Ovis aries: one gene and its partners. The protein of the gene in region 5 interacts with the protein of the main gene of each other region in a biochemical or structural test. Links are inferred from orthologs where the notes say so. Each region holds a gene or a part of one and is shown on either strand. Other genes may lie near its edges. The genes, in order: MBP, RB1, DUSP10, MEF2A and MAPK14.

Region 1 (4,134 bases), on a different chromosome or scaffold from region 5:
GAGGTGACGAACAGAGACGAGACAGCAGCCTTCCAGTCCCACCACCCTGCAGAGGAAGCACGCTTTGCTGGGTGTAGCCACCCGTTAGTGGTGGGGTTTTAAACAGAAGTGAAATGAAGCTCAGTTGTGTCCGACTCTCTGCGACCCCGTGGACTATCGCCCACCAGGCTCCTCCATCCAAGGAATTCTCCAGGCAACAATGCTGGAGTGGATTGCCATTTCCTTCTCCAGGGAATCTTCCCAATCCAGGGATCAAACCCAGGTCTCCCGCACTGCAGGCAGGGGCTTTAACCTCTGAGCCACCAGGGAAGCCAGAGAAGAAAAAGGCAGCTCGGTGGGTGTTGCAAGTTGCCCTCTTCGCCCTGAAGGGCAGCAACAGGGGCTGGTGTCAGATTTCTGGAACTGAGCCCTGGGCGCCCCCAGGGGATCTCTGTGCCTTGGTTTCCTACTCAGTGAAAATGAGAGTTCTAATAGGCTAGTTACATCAAATGAGGGCATCCTAGGGTATTACACCTGTTAATGCAATGATACGCAGCTCTCAGAAGATGGCCTGGCCACTGGGAAGTGGTCAGAAACGCTACCTGGATACCTGGGGAGAAAAGGCCCAGGGACAGCTGTGATCCAGTGTCAGATTTTTAAAGACTCGAGAGAGAAACTAAAAGTCAAACAACGTAACCTCCCATTAATGTTTAAAAATTCAGGAGGAAAAAGGAAGAATCGCCAGAAACCTTGGTCTCTGCCCTTTTCCGCCTTCATGGATGCCTTTCCTCAGGGCAAGTGGCCAGAGCCATTCCCAGTCCAAACCAGGCTGGAGCGGTTCAACACCAAATCACAGCACAAGTGACTCAAAAGTGTTCTTGTCTTTGGGCAGAAATGGGATAGTTTGGAAAGTTTTTAAAGTGAATTTGAACCAAATAGCTTTTGTTTAACCCTGAGTTAGTAAAGGTAGTCATTTCGGAACAGTTAAACCATTGGGAGCTACTATCAGCCACCATTTTACATAATATTTAACTGGATTCCCTCCTTTCAGGTTTTGGTTTATCCCATTTGGAAAAAAAAAAAAAAGTTGGAGAACAGACGGCCCCTCCCCTGAACTGGGAGAAACAGCTGTGAGGCTGCGACCCAGTGCTGACCATCCCTTCCTGAAGGGCTGCTCCGGCCTAGCTCCGTCTGGGTCTGCACCCCTCTCAGCTCCCCACGTCCACGAAGGCCCCCAGCACTCCAGCGTGACTCTGCCAGGGAGCCGGGGGCAGGACTGAGCCCAGCTCTCGGGGTGTCGCAGACTCCTGGGCCATACTCTGCAAACCGTTTCCCTGGGCTGGGGGGTCTTGTCCAAAAGCCACATGTCTTAAATGGGACACACCCTAAAGCGCCCTTCCTCTGAGAATCTCTCCAGGCCAGGTGTGGAGTCCCTGTCAGAACAGCCAGCGCCCCCAACCGGGTCTGGGTCTCCCCAGACACACTCCAGCCGCGCTGCAGAGGTTGTGAACTCACGGTATGGACTCCCTCACCTTGTCGCTACTGGAAAACAGAGAACCAGAAACCCAAAGGCGCTTGTTTCCTGCCAGAGTCCTACTGAGATCCCCAGAGAAACTCCAAGGCTTCTCCAACCCCACCCTCTGCCTTCCGAAAGGAGAGGAGAAAGGAGAGCCTGGGAGAAACGAGGCAGTGCCCCCAGCAGTCCAGAGGAGCCAGAGCCACCGGGTGCCTGGGGATCGTGCAGAGCACGCGGCACCCTCGGGACGCCGGCCAGTCCCGGGCCCAGGGGGGGCTTCACACCCGGGCGCCAGGCGCGCAGGTGGGCGCAGGTGGACGCGGCGGCGCGGCGGAGCCAGGCCAGGCCTCCGGAAGGCGGAAGCCCGGAGCGTCGCCTGTCGCCGCCCTCGGCGTTCAAAGGGAAACTGGTTTTCGCCCGGGCTGGGGGAGGGGGCAGGCAGGAGTCGGCGGTAAGCTCCAGACGTATCCTTACGGGGCGCGTTAAGCGGCGGGTACCCCGGCCTGCCCTGAAGCTCGCAGCGGTCCCGCACCGCCCAGGGTGGCCTCCTTGACCTTTGCCACCTCCCACCCAAAACTCCACCCCGAGCGCCTCCTACGCTCTGCCCGCGACCCCGGCCCCCGACCCGGCCTTGCCCACACCTGGACACCCGTCGGGGACAGCCCCGCCGCTCCGGGTCGGCGTCTACACCCGCGCTCACCCCTCGCAGAGTGGCCGCCCGGGTGCCACCTGCCGCCACCTGCGCGGCCGCCCGGGGAAGCCCTGCGCCCCGTTCCCGCGTCCCCGCTCCGAGGGCGCAGACAAAGGCACCCGCCCGCCCCCGGCGAGGTCACCCACCGCGCGGCGATCGTCTCTCCAGGCCGCGGGCGCCGCGGGGTCCGGGCCGCCTCCCGCCGCCGGGGCCCCAAGCGCGCGGGGTCCCGGGGCTCCGGCGCCGCCTTCGGGGTCGCGGCCGCGGTCGCCGGGGCCGCAGGCTCGTCCTCGCTGGCGCGGCGGCGCAGTCTGGCTGCAGCTCCGAGGGCCCGGCGCGCCCGCCGCTCCTCCCCCGCCTCCCGGGCTTCCTGCGAGCCAGGTAAACACTGCCTTCGGGAGCCGGGCCTCCCACCTGCCGCCCGCGCGCCGACCGCCTCTCCGCGGCTCCGCCTCGCGGGCTCCGGGCGCACGCGGGCCCCGCGCGGGGCTGCCCTGGGCGGCGCGGACTCCGGCCCGGGCTGAACTGCGGCTCTAGAGCCTCCGCTCGCGGCTGAGCCTGCGAACCACCCCGCCCGAGCGCGGGGAGGGACCAGCGATAGCATCTGCTCCACGCCCCGTTCCGCGGGCGGCGAGGGGCCAAGCGCGGCCGCCCGGCTGACTCTGCTGCGCGGGCTCGGGGTTCAGGGCCGCCGCAAGACTGGCCCCTTGAGAACGCCCGGAGGTCCTCGTGCATCCAGCCTACAGACAGGTGCTCGCCGGAGAGCGGCGCCACAGCGGGAGGGCGCGCCCCGGGGTCTGCGGCCTGAGCATCTGTTGGCTTGCGGTCAGTGTCGAGTTCTTGGTCCGAAGGAAGACTGTCCTTTGGACGTCAGTCACCTGCACACAGTCAGATGGCCCTTCCCCCGACCCCCACCCCGGATTCTCGACCTCCTGATGGTGGAAAAATAGGAGGCGTTGGGGGAGACGCTGGAGTCCTCACGACTTAGATTCCAGGTCGGGGGTCTGATCTGATAGTTCCCGGGAGCCGGCGGGGACCCTCACTGTTTCCCCGGGGGAGCGGAAGTCTGACCCCTGGCAAGGCTCAACCCGGGTCTCCTGGGCGGGCAGAGCGCGCGAGGAGAGCCAGCGCCCAGTGTGGCTTCAGGGCCACCTGTCCCAGCCAGCCCTCACAAACCGGGGGTCTGTGAACCACGTTCCAGGGCTGGTAATGCCACCAGAACGGTGTCCACCATTGCAGAAACATTTGCTTCTTTCCTCGGAAAAGATTCGTCTGGGGGTTTCTGGAGTTGGAGATGGGAGGTCAGGAAGACAGCTGAGCAGTGACGCGGGCTGTGCAGAAGGTGAAGTTTACCTGTTTCCCGGTTTTCTGTGGGGCCTTCCCTCCTTGCAGTAGAGGGTGGCTGGGTGCCGGTAGGGGAGCTGGAGGAATCCAAGGACGCTCAGGGCACTGACAGACCCCAGAAGCTCCCTGACTCCCAGGTCCCTGACTCCAGTCACTCTTAAAATGCAACCCACCCCCCACCCCCATATATACTAGGTTCCACATGGAAGTCAGTTTTAGGTGGCTCAGATAGTGAAGAATCCACCTGCAATGCAGGAGACCCCAGTTCGATCCCTGTATCTGGAAGATCCCCTGGAGAAGGGAATGGCAACCCACTCCAGTATTCTTGCCTGGGAAATCCCACGGACAGAGGAACCTGGCTGGGCTACAGTCCATGGGGCTGCAAAGAGCTGGACATGACTGAGCGACTTTCACTTGAGCATCACAAACCACATCTCATCTGCTTCCCCCAGATGTCTTCCTGGAGTGACCAGGAAACAGGAGGATGGCCTTCTGACCTGCACAGGTCAGTGAGGGCTGAACACTGGGGAGCCCAGGCCACAGGGGAGCAGCAATGTTTGCCCTGCTGCCTGCTTGTAGAAACGTCACCGATGCCAGCAGCCAT
Region 2 (3,512 bases), on a different chromosome or scaffold from region 5:
AAATAAAGGATGCCTTCAACATACCCTGGTGGAAGCATACTGCAGAATATTTGTTTTCAGTCTCTGCATGAAGACTGAATTATAGAATACGATAATGGAATCATACTCCTCTTCTCTGATCAAAACACGTTTGAATGTCTGAGGAAGAAGAGCAAAAATACTTGTTAAATGAATTTGGGAATTTATCTCTTTAGAGTTTCTATTTTAATAGTTCATGATACTTTTTAACAGTAAAAAGATGCATTACTTTATAGGAAAAAACAATCTAAAGAAGCCATTTTAGGCTTGGATTATAGCTGTTCTACTGGAAGTGAAAAGTCATACATATATACTGTATGTGTTTTATGTATATATATATATATGTTTATTACAAATATTCTGCTTATTGGCATAATACAGTGTTCCCTATTTATTTTATAATATGAATTTGAATATTAAAGTGTTAGCTTCCCAACTGGAGAAAGAAATGGCAACCCACTCCAGTGTTCTTGCCTGGAGAATCCCAGGGACGGGGGAGCCTGGTGGGCTGCCATCTACGGGGTCGCACAGAGTCGGACACAACTGAAGCGACTTAGCAGCAGCAGCAGCAGCTTCCCAATTACATTTTAACTACAAATAATTAACTAATAATATGAAAATTAAAAGTGGACATGTAAATTTATACAAATCAGTCAGAACATATGGTACAATTAATGACTAAAGTTATCCGTATTATAGATAATGGATATTTTTGAAAACTCTTATCATGGAAAATTACCTACCTCCTGAACAGCATGAGGAAGATCTTTGTACGCTGTGACAATGATTTTGAATTTAAGGTCTATATTCTTCACTTTGCATATGCCATACATGGAACACATCATAATCTAGTAAATGAATTTGATACAAAAGCAGTCAGGGTTTTGCTACATGGCTGTGCTCAGAGGATGAGATGGCTGGATGGCATCACCGACTCAATGGATATGATGAGTCTGAGTGAACTCCAGGAGTTGCTCATGGACAGGGAGGCCTGGCGTGCTGTAGTCCATGGGGTGGCAAAGAGTCAGATATGACTGAGCGACTGAACTGAACTGTGGTCTAAAACACACTGTTATCTTTCTTTCAGTTAAAAAAAAAAAGGAAATTTAATCTCCCACAGAATTATCTTTTCCTGTCCTGAGCTCATTTGGCACTGTTTTAGATCAACTATTCTTACGCCTCATGCTTTTTCCACACCTAATGAATTCTAGTTTACAACAACACAGAAAACGCCTATGATAAAATTTCTTCAGTGGTTTCTGCAACAAGAGCTTTCATGTCATGAAATAAGTAAATACTGAAATATTCTCAAACTCTAAAGCTCTCATTTGTAAAAAATACAGCAAAAATATAAAGGGTAGCCAGTAAGCAAATATATGTTAACTACATTGATGCAGCTTCTCATTTGAATCCAAACTTTTCTTAAGAAATCAGTACATAGCTAACAAGTAAGCAGGAGAAGAAAAGAGAAGTGCATAATTTCCTTACCTGGTCCAAATGCCTGTCTCTCATGAGTTCATACTCATTTTGCAGTGTGTGCTGGAAAAGGGTCCAGATGATATGCTCTAGCTCTGGGTGGTCAGACAGAAGGCGTGCACACAGGGTGTTCAGTCGAAGATATGCTAGTCGATACACTGGAAAAATAAGGGGAATTAATCATATTTACTCTTAATTTTGTATCACAGGTAGATATTTTCAAAATATTAAACTGTTATAATAAAATGCTGTTAAATAGCATTTAACGTTGACTTATGATTTCTCACTATTTTCCTTATGATTTCTAGTCTTAGGACTATTCTACATACACAGAAGGCAAAACAATATTTGGCTGAAAATACTATTCAGCAAAAATAATTCTTTTGCTGAATTATTATAGCATAAAGTTGAAGCAGAAATGAAAATCAGAGGAAGAAAGATCCTAAGATACTGTGAAATTAGACAACCCAAATACTGTTTGTTTCAGTTTCATTGGTAATCACTCATCACAGATGTTGAATACTTTATCAATATTCAAGAGTAATTATTTTTTAAAATAACAGAATTTCCAAACTCCCTTAATTTTTTCAATCCTGAAAACAAAAAACAAATAGTGTATTTCTCTATAAAAATGCTAGACTTGTAGATTGCCTAAGTGGTAATATGACTGTGATATTAAATATATTGCGCAAGTTTATTTAAAAATACTACTGGAACACAGGTTGGAGAAAAGTAATCCACAAAACTGAATTTTCCTCCATCTGGTTTAAATGCACCTGTCAAAGACTTGCATAAAGTAATCAGAATTTTTTAGTTAATAATTTATCCCACTGGCACTGGTCTTCAACTTTGGCTTACATCAGACTTGCACTGAGGACTTGTTAAAACAAGGATTATTTCCTCATCCTACTAGAGTCTCTGATCGAGTAGTTCTAGCATTAGGGGCTCAAACAAAAATTCTCCTTTCTGCAGCTTATCGAGTAAGGTGGATTCTGCTGGTTGGGGACCACACTTTGGAACCACTGCTTTAATTCAAGGACTTATAACATGCCTATAAAGCTCAGTATATTTGCTTTATCCAAGTCAGAAATAAGATTTATCACAGAGGAATCTGGCCTTCTACCTTTCTTCAAAGAGCTTCAAGTGGGTGTGCACTTGCATGTACATGCACAGACACCCAAATGACCTCCCCACCCCATCACACACACACAATCAGAAAATGCTGTACAACCTGGTCACCAGGAAATGCATCTGCATTAGGCCACAACCCATTGTATAATCCCAACGTACACATCTCAACAGAGGAAGTAATGTTAGGGGCAAATATTTCCGAGCATAAATTTGAAAGCGTAACAGTAAGCAGCAACAATAACAACATCTGACACTTTCTGAGTGCTTACTATGTGCTAGACACTCTTGGAAGCATTTTATGTATTCATTCACTTAATTATCTCAAAACCCAAATAAGGTAGGTTATTATTATTTCCATTTTACGGATGAGGAAACTGAGGCATAGAGCTTTTAAAGTGACTTGCCCAAAGTCATACCTAGTAAGCCGAAGAGCAAAGATTTGAATCCAGTCAGCCTGGTTTCAGAGTCCACGATCTTCAAAGTAATCATCTACTAACCTTTTTTGTAGAAGAGTGAAAGGGAGGTAGATTTCAATGGCTTCTGAGTCTGGAAGGCTGAGGTTGCTTGTGCCTCTGAATTTGGAGTAGAATTTGCACGTGGAGTTGACGCTTTTTTCTTTGGGGATCTTACAGGAGAAAGGTACCTAGATATATTCAAAGGAAAAGTCTTCATGTGAAGTTTTCTCAGAATCTCTCTCTTTCACAGATACACAAACACACACAGCTGGACACATGCATCCAAACACATCTTGTCTATTTAATCCACTGTTTTACACCAAAGTCCTATTTAAATACAAGTTGGAAAAGAGAGCTTATGAGGAAAACTAGGCTTGCTGTTATCATTTCTAACCCTATTTTAATAAATGGCCTTTCCTAGAAATTACTGCC
Region 3 (4,240 bases), on a different chromosome or scaffold from region 5:
TCATCTTCTTGGCCAAGTCATTGGGGTAGATTATTTTGATGCTGGCTAGCTGTTTAGGGGTCCCTGCCACGGGGCTGCCCACCCCACCTGATGGACTTAGAGAGCCTGCATTCTCATTGTTGTTGACCATCTGGCTGGCAGGACAGGTGGTGGAGCTTCCGATGGCAGTGGTGGCGGGGCCAGCGGCAATGGCCTGGGTTGGGGCCTGATTGTCCTTGTCGTAGGTTGCCACAGTGCAGCAGCTGGCACTGCTGCACCCACAATTCAGGGAGCGGGCAGAGCCGCTGGATGAGGGCATATACGTCAGATTCGCAGCCTTTAGGGACACAACGGTGGTGGCGATGACAGGAGGGTGGCTGGTACTGCCAGGGGCGGTAGAGCCAAGGTAGCTAGAGTCTAAACAAAGGTTGAGATCCTGAGGTCGAACGGGCCTAGACAGTGCCACCACTACCCTGTCGTCTAAAGGAGACGGAGGCATGAGGAGGCTGAAAACTGGCAATTCAAGAAGAACTCAAGACAGTCTGTAAAGAAGGGGAGGGGGGGAAAGAAAGAATAAAGTCATGTGACACAAAAAGCAGTCGAATCCAATCCCTAGGAAAGGACTTTGCATCCCTCTTAGTGAAGTTGTCCTAAGTGCCCAGTTTCCTGTCACTCAAAGCTTGACACTCACCACTATGGATTCAAAGAGGATGCACGCCTGAGGACCATCCCCCTCCCCACCCCCTGTCCTTGCTGAGTCTAAGGTTAGATATAGTCTATGCAAATGTTGAACAACCTTTCATGGACCCACATCCAAGTTCAGCCTTAGAAAAAGTACAAGCACAAAGGATCAGAAAAGCTCAAGATGGAAGGGAAGGTTCTTAAGAGGCATCTCTTCTGGGCCTCATCTCCAGGGCAGAAATATACTGCAATCATCTGAGAAGGACCCATACGTCCACCCTTGCATACTTTCCATGTAATTCCTTCAGCCACTGCAAAGGCAAAGGAATGACCAAGAGTGCTGGCAAGGCTCATGGGAATATACAGCAGCTAAATATACATCAGGGGCAGATGTCAACTTTCTGCACATCAGAATGAAAGTAGCCCTCTAAGTGAATCTCTTTAATTTTGAGCTATTCTTACTTTTCTTTCTCCCAAGTCCTTTGAAAAGCACAACAAAGTCATATTAAAACCTCCCTTGTTTCCTATTGCCCTCTTATTTATAAAGTAATCTGCATTTCCTCTTTCATTACATACTGGTCCCCTAAAATGAAGCCTCAAGCTAGGGAAGCAGGTTTGAAAACCCTGACCCTGACAGATCCATCCCTCAGATGTCTCCCTTGCCACACCACCCACTCCACTCCTGCCTTTAAGGAAAGGACCACTTCAACCCTCCATTCTCCTCCTTTCCCTACAGGAACATCCTAGAGCTTCTCTCAGCAGAAGGCAGCCACTATGCATAATCTTTTGATCTCACACAGACGTGCCCCCTCTTCAAGAGGATGGATTCATAAAGACTTCCCAGTGAGAAGTAAAGAGTCACCCACAGGGGTCTATGTCCTGGCTCATGAGAGGGTACCTGCAAAGGGACAGTTCCTTCCTCCCCATGGGCATAGAGGCACTCCACTCCCGGGCCCTGCTGGCTCCTCTCCTGCTAGACATACACACAGAGGAGACACCAAACGCCATGCAAGAGGAGCTCATCTAAACCAACTTTAAGAGATGTCTGGAAAAATGTCATCCAACATCCCTCTACACAGGACTGTCACCATTCTCAGACACAGAGCCAAAATGTCACAGGCAGAATACACACACACACACACACACACACACACGGGCACGCACCTATCACATCCACAGATCCCCCCGCTGGCCTCAGCTTTCTCTCACCACCTTTGGATGGGCAAGAAGAATCCAACCCCTGTTCTCCCTCCCTTTCTCCTTTCTTCCCTCCCTCCCCCGCCCCTTCCTCCCTTGCGTAGTATTTTTTGAAGAGCGAGTACTATTCCAGAAGCTATAACTGTTTCCCAGCTGGACCCAGCGGTGAAAAGTCTTTGCTGTTGTGTTACCTGGTAGGGTACGTCCCAGGATCAACAGTCCATTTCCCTTGAGAGGGACGCAGAAGCGTGCTCACGGAGACATAAGCTGGGACCCCCACCTCCACACAGAGTGCGCGGCGCGCACACACGCTCGCTCTCTCTCACACACACATACACACACGCACGGAGTGTATAAAGAGACCTGCATCCCTGCAGCAGAGGGTCGGGCATATCTATTGCCCGTGAAACCATCCAGACAGCCTGTAGGAAACCTCCCCGAAAAACACTGAGCTATCCCCCTCCCTCTCTAGTCGCCCTTCCACCTCTAGTTAGCGGCTGGAAAGAAAATTAAGTGGTCAGAGAATGCTGCTTCCCCACTTCGGGGCACTTAACATCCTCCTTCGCAACACAGCGCACTAACAAGTCCCTGGCCTTTAAAACTGCCGCAAAGCATCCCAACAAACCTCATTTTTTCCTTCGCCCCCAGTCCAAGTAGACTGCAGAGAGAGTAAACGCACAGGGCGGCGTGAGCCAACAGCGGGAACACTTTAACCTCACCTGCTGTGGCTCCTCCGTAAACATCGCAACACACACGCGCACACACACACCACATACATACTCACTCACACTCACACCGCCTCAAACCCCTGGACTCTCAGGAGTAGCCACGGTGACTTCCACTTACTTCATAAATAAGTGTAACCCTCCACCATCTGGCGCTCCGCTTCAGCAAGGGATTCGCACATTCAGCCCTCATTCACTAGGCTTCATTGATCTCCAGCAGCAACATAGTTACTTTCTCTTTTGCTACACTGTAAATGTAAGGTTCTGAGGGGGCGGGCCGGCTGCCGACCGACGGCGTGTTGAACCAATAAGAATCCGGAGAAACCTGACCGCTACTTCGCTGCAGCCCGCGACCAATGGGCACCTGGAGGGGGCGGAGCCGGGGCGTGGCCATGGCTCTTTAAGGAGGGTTTATCCGACGCCGCTTTGGGTCCACTGTGTTATAATACGGACGGTGATGTCATTGGCAACCAATCAAAAACTTAAAAGGGCCAACTGGGGCCCGCGCGGAGCAGCTGCTCTCTATTTACATGTAAACCGAACCCGCAGGATGCAGTTAACCCTTTCCGGGGCTGAATTGTCAATGGGCTGTGTTTGCCGCTCCGCCTAAAACTGGCTCTGCGAACTTGGCGGGATCCCTGTACATCGCCTCACCAAGGGACAGACCACGCTGTTTATTTTCCCTTCTTACTCTGGCTGGCTGATCAACCGTGTCAGAATAACTTTCTGAAGGCAAGAGGCAACGACAATAATCACTATCCCCAGCTGGAAAAACGGGTTCCCTGAGTCCCTCGAGGTGACCTGATAAACCGAAGATTCACGGACGTCGCCCAGCTACCCGAGCAGGGGGATAAATGTAAGAGCGCGGCCAGGGACATCGCTTCTTCTACAGTCTGAGCCCGGGGCCACGCGCTGGAGGCCTGGGCTCCAGCGGGACTGGCAAGTCTGCCGTCCGTCCACCGGCAGTGAGGCCCGCCAGCCTCGCCGCGGCCCGAGTCCTCGGGGCCGCCCCGCTTGCTCCGCGCCGCCAGAAAGCATCGACCGCCCGCCCGCAGATGTCGCTGCCCCTCCGGCTGCCCTACTGCTGCCCGGCGCGGCTGTGGCGCGGCGCCCTGTGGCTCGCCTACTTCAGCGCCCCAGTCACGCCCCCGCTTCCCTCGCCTGCCTCCCGGGGCTCCACCCGTAGCTCGAAGGCAGTGATGCGGAGGGCTGCTCGGAGGCGGCAGTCTGGTTCCCAGTCAGAAGCTACAGAGGGCGCGTCCCCGAGGGGCTGCACAGGCGTCACCCCAGAGCCCGCGCGCCCGCCCCGGCCCCCGGGCAAGGCCTCCTGCCCGCTAGCGCCCCCTCTTCCACCCAGCGAGCAAGGTCCCCGCGCCGCGCTCCGCAGAGCTGCGCGCTACCGGCCCGAGGCCCGCCTTCCCCTCGCCCCTCCTCAGTTGCCCGCCACCGTGTAGGGCCCCTGGGAGCCGAGGACCCAACAGCCCGGAGCTTCTGGAACAGCAGCGGCTGGAGGAAAGGAGCTGGAGCTGAGAAGAAATAACCAGCTTGAGTGGAGCCGACGGAGAACTGGAGGCGGCGCCGCCCCTCTAGGTTCTCCTGTATTTCGTCGCCGGAGGGGTCGCGGTCAGAGGTGACCATCTGAGCAAAACAGGGGGTTT
Region 4 (3,512 bases), on a different chromosome or scaffold from region 5:
GACTATCATATTGTGTGGTGGCCCCATGAGTGCTGTAGTTAAGTGATCATACAAAACAAATATAGTCATGATACCGCTCTGCTTAAAACCTTTTTATGGCTTCCCAATGCTTTCAAGATCATGTCCAAAAGTCCTCAGCAAGGTGTATGCATCCCAACCTGCCTCTGTGGTTTCAACTCTACAGCCATCCAGACCCATCAGCCATGCTCCTGCTGTCTCTGCACACAGAGCTCCCCATTCCTGGAGCACTCTCCCTACTCTGCCTGGCTGAGGCAGGTCCAAGCCTCTTCAGGTCAAAGCTTCAGTATGGCCCTTAACACGAAGGTGATAAATTACTCCTAGAGCTATTTGTCTTGTGTGTTTCTCCTCTGATAGACCCTACGTTCCATTGTTAACTGTGCTCCTGTGTATTTCCAGTGCCTGACACAGTGCTTGTCACACAGAACACACTCTATATCTGTGCTGAATGGATCCATGAATAAGTTGAGAAGCTGGGAGTGATCTTACAGATGGGCATGAGGAAGTGTCTATATGATTCCTCTACACAGAACTACTGTACTTTTTGAAATGTTGCTCACTTATTCATCCCTGTACTGACTAACTGGCACTTGTTTGATTCTTAACTATGTACAGAAAGGTAGTTGATATACTAATGAAAGACAAATTATAGATGCATGTTTTAAAAAGATAAATACATTAAAGATAATGTGGTAACATTAAACAGAACAGGTGCTCTGAGAGAGAAGTAAGTAGTTACAGGAGTGAGACTGATAAGGGATGGTTTCAAGAGAATGTGACTCCATTTCTGTGTTTTGGTAATTGCTTCTGGACTTTGGAAAAAATATTCTTTAAAGCCAATGGCATTTCTAAAAACAAATATAGTGGGATATCTAAGTTTTCTATTGGAAAAACCTGTCATGAAATGCTCAGTAAACTGTAATGTAACGGTGACACCCAGCTCAAGAACCATCTCCTTGGCCAACGCTCCTCTGAACATTCTAGCTCACAAATTTTCTACCTTCCTCACCTTCTCAAGATCAGAGTATAAACTGGTAACCTCAACAACTCAGGACTTCCCCTCCATAGGTTACCAGCTTGGGTATGTCTCCTTTTCCAGAATAAACCTGGGAGAAAATGTATGTCCCTAGACCAGTGTTGCTCATATAGCTGGTGACCAGGGCAATGAAACAGAATTTCTATGAACATATAATCCCTGGGTTTACTCTAGATTTAGTTGATGGATTTGGATATTTTTTTTAATATTGACTGTTGGAAAAGGTAGTAGACATTTCCTAAGAAGCTTTCTTTTCAACAAAACCATTTAAAGTTGTTTTTGTTTTAAAAGAACTACTTGGAATTAAAGCAGCAATCAAATGTATCAATGGCTCTGCACCCCTCAGGGAGCTCCACAGATCAGGGTGAAAGACTGTGCTACAGCATTTACCCTGAAGTCTGAAATTAGATGATCTTTATTCATCTGTTTATCAGAATCACAAAAGAATAAATGCCCTGCCCTGTGGTCTCTGAAAAACTGGCAAGGTATTTTTAACTCTTTCCCTCGCTCCTCCACCTTTTGAGGCATCAGGTGTTTGGCTCAGCTAGTGAGAAAGGGAAGCTCCCCGACGTGTCCTCTGCCAATCCCTAAATGGCACATCTAGAGAAACCGTCATACACTGGGCTCTCCACACAGTGAAAGCACCCCTCCAATCACTGCAGTATTTTTAAACTTACCTAATATACTCTCTAAATAGGGTATTTGTGGATGAAAAGTCTAAATTACATGAATGAGTGAAAAGCTCGCCTCAGAGGTGAGGAGTGACTGGCTTTGAAGAGAAGTAAGAAAGCTCCTGGTCTTGCCCCCGAGGCACAAACAGTATAAACCAAATGGGCTATCACATGGAGGAAACTGTGACCTGCTGACACAGCCACCTAGATCCACCTCCCTGAGTCCTGAGGTCCCAAGGGATGCAGCCTTTCCCGAGGCAGGTTGACATAGCATACAGAAAAACATCTTATTTCAGAAGCTTGGAAGAGTGAGATGCTATGTAACAAGAACTACATAGAAAACACCAACTGTTTTGCTCCGTTTGCTGTGCGTCATAATTTGATAACAGCTAGCTGTCTCTCAGGGGTAAGCAGAAGTTCATGCTGGGGAATCTTTCTATAATCAATGTGTACAATGTATTTCATTAACATATCCAACTGTGAATCTAAGAAACTTGAAATAATTTATTTCAATAAATATATATTTTTTTAAATCACAAAAGCACACACTGAAACAAAACAAAGCAAAAAACCCCACAAAAGGCAACAGGGCAGGCTCACCTGTGTTGTAGGCGGTCGGCATTGCTGAGTACACCAGGCCCTGCGGAGGCAGGCTTGGAGTTGTCACAGACACCACTGGGGTAGCTAGGGGTTGAGTGGCTTGAGAACTGCTTATCCTTTGGGTATTCTGTGAGAGAGTAGAAAAAAGTGTTATTCTATGAGTATTTATATTTAAGCTTAATATTTAAAATAGAATGTTCAATTTAAAAGTGACATTTTTCACAGTTTTATGATGTGAACATCATTCCCTGAAGCAAGTGATCATGTGAAAACTTTAAAAATACTAATGAGAATAACTAAATATTTAATTTTAAGGGATGTGTTTTGCATTAATCATTCATTTTCCCCTAGTGCCTTTTTCAGAGAGTTTATTGATGTCAGAGATACATCCTTAAAATAGAAACTTGCATTAGAGCTGATAACACTTATATGCTAACATAAATGAGGACTTGAGGCCCCAACTTATAAAGACTGCCAGGCTACCCTACCTAAGTAAGATATGTGTAGATTTTAAATACCTGAGGATAGCAAGGTTATCTGTGTATATAGAGATTATAAGTCCACGAGAGTCCAAGAGAGTTCAAAACTACTTCTATTTGCTGGATTTACAAGTTAACAGGGTTTTAAGTCATAGCTTACTAAACTGCAGCTTGTATTCATATTTCCTTCCCCGAGATCCTGCAGTAAACACACAAATATGTATATGTGTATGTATTTAGATATAAATTTTTATTAAGATTTTTTTAAAGAACAGTTTTAGGTTCACAGAAAAATTGATGAAAAGGTACAGAGATTTACCATATACTCCCTGACCCTATCTATACATGCAGAGCCTCTCCCATCATCCGCCATTGACCTGTTTTTTAATGGCAGACTCAGCCATGTATCCCTTCTCCGGACGCTTATGAATGGAGAAGCTTTGAGTAGAGAGTTTTAAAATAAAATATAATACTTCTGATAGGGCTGCGGATGACCAGCGGTAAATGCTTGCTGACCGACTGCATCTACACAGCATCCCATCTACAGTGGGAGTGAAACAAAATGAACTACAGAATAATCAAGTCAGTTTAAGACAGTCACCATTCTGTAAGGGTATGGGTATCAAAGAGCAGTTTCTCACAATGCTGCCTCAAGCAAACACGTTCTAAAACTGAGAATCAGCGAAACAGAGACTCCAAGTTCCATGT
Region 5 (4,167 bases):
GTTCCCTTTACCCCTTAAGAAGGAAAGGTATGTTTGTAAAACTCTAATACTCAAAGTTCTATTTTGATTTCTTGATCTTTCATTCACGATTAGTTATCATACTTGCGTTACTAGATACTTAGTACAAATGAAAACACTGAAAATTGGCTTATTATTTAATTTTTAAAGTTAACACATCAAAGTGTATCACACTTCAGAGCAATCAAATTAGGAAACTGACACATTATTTCAGTGATGTTGCATTCCTTGAAATACTTTCAGAGATTCTTTTTTGGAACAGACTTCAATCCAGTTCTACAAGTCCCACAGGAAATTCTGTGTCATTACTTTACGGTTACAACTCCTATTTGACCTCAAACAGTATCACCAGCCTGGCTGCCTGATCTTTTTCACCAGACTTGAGCCCAAATTCTCTAAATGATTTGGATTCAATCTAACTTCGTTATTTCCTAAAATCAAATCTGCTCTAAAAAAAAAATGAAGAGAGTGAAAAATAACACAGGCTCCAAAGTGGATTCTAAGAGAAGTTTAAAAAACATTTTTTTTTTCTGCCACACCTAAAAGCTGCTGACTGAAAGAACAACTTGAAATAACTACTCTGAATGAGATAACACATGTGAATGTAAATTCTGATATTTTCAATCCAAAATCAACTATACTTGTTTACGGTCAACTGTCACATAATATTGGTTATTTTTCTCCACCAATATGTTATAGGTTACACCTTAAACAACCTTAGCAGAACTGCCTCCACAGAAAGACACACAAGAAACTTAACAGGGGTGGTCTCTTGAGAAAAGAACTAGTCCAGCTGGACAAAGAGAATGGAAACTTTTCACTGTCTTTCTATGCCTTTTACATTTTATACAATGTGAATGTACTACCTACTTTTAAAAACCTGTTTAACAAAATTACTTCCAAGTGTCAGTTTTGATGGCTTCTATAAACCAGAAAAATAAAGCACTAAAAAATGTGGAGTTCATGTTTTATCAGCACTTCACTGGATCTCCAGTGCCAGGGCTGAGTTACTCACATCAACTGTAGGGAAACCTTGCAAGCAGTTCACTAACTCCCCACAGTTGAGCCGTATCACTCCACTAAAGTTTAAACAACAATGATAGGAAACAAAAATTCAGTACCACAAAAATTAATGTGTCAATTCCAGAATGAAAACTGGCCGTAAACAAGTGAGCTATTAAAGCAGCAATGATCCAAACACATCTTCGAAAATTAGCGAATCAACAGCACGCTATAAAAATGGAAAAAAGATGTCAAGCATAGGGCCATCAGCGACATCACTCAAGCAGCCTGAACTAGAAAACGCAATATGATCTGTTGCTGGACACAATTGCACAATCTCAATTACCCAGAAGATTCTACCAAACAGGAAATTCATGCTGGGGCTTTAAGAAACACAGGAATTATATTCAAAGATTACCAAGTCTAAAAGCCTGGAACCTGCCCCGAAACAAAAAACTAATTTTGTAGACCTCTTTGCAAATAATGCATGCACAGGAATTACATGAATTAGCTTCAGGTCAGCTCTCAAATTACACAAAATCTAAAATACAGTGTATAAAACCTTAGAAGTTAGAAAAGTTAGTGAACTGAGTCTGGAAATTTTACAGTAGCGTTTCATTTAAAAGACATTCATAGTGTGAATTAAAGCTGAAAAGTGTCTCTTCCTTCTTTTGCTATATATTCCATATCCCATGAAAACCATTATGTACCTCTCAGGCCTTAAGTGCAGATTAAGTTCTCTGCAAACCCTCTAAAGGACTTTAAAAACACAGTGTTTCACAAGAATTATCACGATTAAAAAATATTTATAATACATCGCAGCATTGTTAAAAACTTTTTGATCTTGAGGGCGTCCAACGGATCTGAACCTCACTTGCTCCAAAGGAGAAAATCGTTTTGTCAAACAATACTTAAATGAGCAGTGGTATGTGACTAATCAGCGAGGCCGCCAGCTTCTCAAGCTGCAGGCACTACCACCACCCCCCACTCTGCGAAAAGGAAATACGCTTTCAACTGAATCGGAAACACACCACTCAAGCTGGCACAGGGCTCACCGAGATAAAGTCGGTATTTTAAGCTCCCTGGATAGCTGCTAATTCAAGTGCGAATTCAAAAAGAACCCTTCTCAAAATGCAATTTCGACAGAGGTTTGCAAAAAAGCCCGAACTCAACGCCCTTCGTCCTCAGTTTTGTTCAGATGACCGCAGTCGAGCTTTGCCCTTCTGCTTCTCCGGGCAGCTTCCCGGGCTTGTCTGCTCCGAGGGCAGGCACATCTCGAGAGAGTCCTTCTGCTCGATGCCAGCAGGGAGAGACCTCCGAAGAGGGACCCCTGTTCCTGCCCCCGTAGCAGCACCGCCCCCCCACCCCCACCCCCACCCCCAAGGGAACGCGCAGGGTGCGAGTCAGGGCCCGGCTCCAACACCATCACCCACCGCCCACAGCGGACCTGCGTCCTACACACAGCTGACCATCTACGTGGGCGTGCAGGGTGGGGGTGCAAGGGGGACAGGGAGTGCAGGACAGGGGTCGAAGAGGGCTGGGATGCCCTCCCCCCAAGGAAAATTCCTGCCGCTGGGTGCATTGCTGAGCCGTGGGGGCAGGCCTGACTCCAGGGCATACGGAGACACCCGGCCCAGCGAGGCCCCCGGCCCGGTGACACTCACCACACAGAGCCATAGGCGCCGGAGCCCACCGGGGACAGGTTCTGGTAACGCTCGGGCACCTCCCAGATGGTCTTGTTCAGCTCCTGCCGGTAGAACGTGGGCCTCTCCTGAGACATCTTCCAGCGGTGGCCGCGGGGCGAGGAGGTGGCCCTTGCAGGGCCCCGCCTGCACCCGCACCCGCTTCCCCTGACCTCGTAGCCCGCCCGGCCGGGCGGGGACCCCTGCGCTGGCCGCCCGCGCAGGTGCGGCTGCGGCGACCCTGAAGAAGCCCGCGCGCGCGCGCGGCCCCTGTCAGCCGCAGCGGCTGGACGCGCCTCACCGACGGCGGGGGAAGCACTGCGAAGGGCCGGGGCACGCTCCGGGGCCCTGGGCTGGCGCCCCGCCCAGCTCTCCCTGCGCTCTCTCCACACCCGGCCGACTCCCGGCTGCGCGGCGGGGTCACAGCTCCAGCTGCAGCGCCCGCGGAGCTTCCAGTGGTCGCCTTTCCCAGAGCCAGCGAACAGGAGCCTCCCGCCGTGCTCTCGCGAGAACAGCTCCCGGACCTCTCCTCGAGCCGAGATTTTACCCAATATGGAACCTGCCCGCGGGAGGGGGGTTGATGAAGGGAGAGCTTGGGAGAAGTAATTCTCGCGAGAAGAGAGCAACAGCTGGCCCCTAGAGGCAGGAACTCCCAGGGATTGCTCTCCTTTAGCGCGCGAAGGCGGACCCGGGAAGGAGCGGAGAAGCAGACGATACAGGCCGCGCGCGCCCCATCGTGGTCGGCGGGGCAAGTGCTTGGCTCCCTGTTGGAAAGAGACAGTGACAAATCAATCGGGTGTCTGGGAAAAGAGCCAAAAGACCTTTAAACGGTGGGTAATCACCAGCAGCTGAGCACCTGCTCGGCGGAAAACCCCCAATTTCCAAGAAGTACTTGCATAAAAAAGAGAAAGATTCCGGCCAGAAAGCCGTTGTAGTCCCATCTGCTCAAGGACATACACTTACTCTTCGGAATGCTGACGAAATCTGTCTCAAAGGTAAATATTAGCCCTGAATTAAGGTTGAGGTTTTTCCACCCAGACACTTCTAGTAGTTCTCAAACTTTTACGTGCAGAAGAAGCACCTTGGGCGCTTAAAAATGAACAGCGAGTTTGATTAGATGGGTCCCAGAGGGACTCCAAGACTGTGCATTTTTACAAAATGCGCCAGGTTCAGAAAAGTTCTTGGTATCTCCCTTGGAGAAACATTTTAAAACCTTTACCCTGAAGGTTTGAAACTGATTCCTACCTTGAAGAGCTTCCAGCAAAGAGGGTTTTAAGAATTGTAATCATGCCTCTCAGAGTAAGAACAGTGCAGATAGTGGTTTTCTGGCAGTATCCTGTTGGGCAAGTCAATTGACCTTTCTTAGACCTTAGTTCCAGTTTATGCAAAAAAGAATTGCTGCCCTGAAATTTCCCACCTGAAAGCTGAACAAGATAATAAATGTGAATGGGCAAGGTATTATAAC

What was found.
Region 1: of the proteins of MAPK14 (region 5) and MBP, one has a biochemical effect on the other in vitro, tested with the Homo sapiens proteins (4 studies listed by BioGRID). The link is inferred for Ovis aries from reciprocal best matches to the Homo sapiens genes MAPK14 and MBP.
Region 2: of the proteins of MAPK14 (region 5) and RB1, one has a biochemical effect on the other in vitro, tested with the Homo sapiens proteins (3 studies listed by BioGRID and IntAct). The link is inferred for Ovis aries from reciprocal best matches to the Homo sapiens genes MAPK14 and RB1.
Region 3: the proteins of MAPK14 (region 5) and DUSP10 form a complex in vitro, tested with the Homo sapiens proteins (2 studies listed by BioGRID, with this or other methods). The link is inferred for Ovis aries from reciprocal best matches to the Homo sapiens genes MAPK14 and DUSP10.
Region 4: of the proteins of MAPK14 (region 5) and MEF2A, one has a biochemical effect on the other in vitro, tested with the Homo sapiens proteins (2 studies listed by BioGRID). The link is inferred for Ovis aries from reciprocal best matches to the Homo sapiens genes MAPK14 and MEF2A.

Annotation. Positions count from the first base shown.
Region 1 is NC_056076.1:2,418,078-2,422,211, reverse strand, and holds the start of MBP (myelin basic protein), read right to left. Parts: upstream 2,806-4,134; 5' UTR 2,791-2,805; coding exon 2,601-2,790; intron 1-2,600. UniProt on the Homo sapiens protein: The classic group of MBP isoforms (isoform 4-isoform 14) are with PLP the most abundant protein components of the myelin membrane in the CNS. They have a role in both its formation and stabilization.
Region 2 is NC_056063.1:18,563,839-18,567,350, reverse strand, and holds part of RB1 (retinoblastoma-associated protein), read right to left. Parts: intron 3,269-3,512; coding exon 3,123-3,268; intron 1,653-3,122; coding exon 1,507-1,652; intron 867-1,506; coding exon 762-866; intron 139-761; coding exon 25-138; intron 1-24. UniProt on the Homo sapiens protein: Tumor suppressor that is a key regulator of the G1/S transition of the cell cycle. The hypophosphorylated form binds transcription regulators of the E2F family, preventing transcription of E2F-responsive genes.
Region 3 is NC_056065.1:24,475,592-24,479,831, forward strand, and holds the start of DUSP10 (dual specificity protein phosphatase 10), read right to left. Parts: upstream 2,813-4,240; 5' UTR 2,704-2,812; intron 522-2,703; 5' UTR 479-521; coding exon 1-478. UniProt on the Homo sapiens protein: Protein phosphatase involved in the inactivation of MAP kinases. Has a specificity for the MAPK11/MAPK12/MAPK13/MAPK14 subfamily. It preferably dephosphorylates p38.
Region 4 is NC_056071.1:6,275,187-6,278,698, forward strand, and holds part of MEF2A (myocyte-specific enhancer factor 2A), read right to left. Parts: intron 2,453-3,512; coding exon 2,326-2,452; intron 1-2,325. UniProt on the Homo sapiens protein: Transcriptional activator which binds specifically to the MEF2 element, 5'-YTA[AT](4)TAR-3', found in numerous muscle-specific genes. Also involved in the activation of numerous growth factor- and stress-induced genes.
Region 5 is NC_056073.1:10,093,450-10,097,616, reverse strand, and holds the start of MAPK14 (mitogen-activated protein kinase 14), read right to left. Parts: upstream 2,803-4,167; 5' UTR 2,801-2,802; coding exon 2,685-2,800; intron 1-2,684. UniProt on the Homo sapiens protein: Serine/threonine kinase which acts as an essential component of the MAP kinase signal transduction pathway.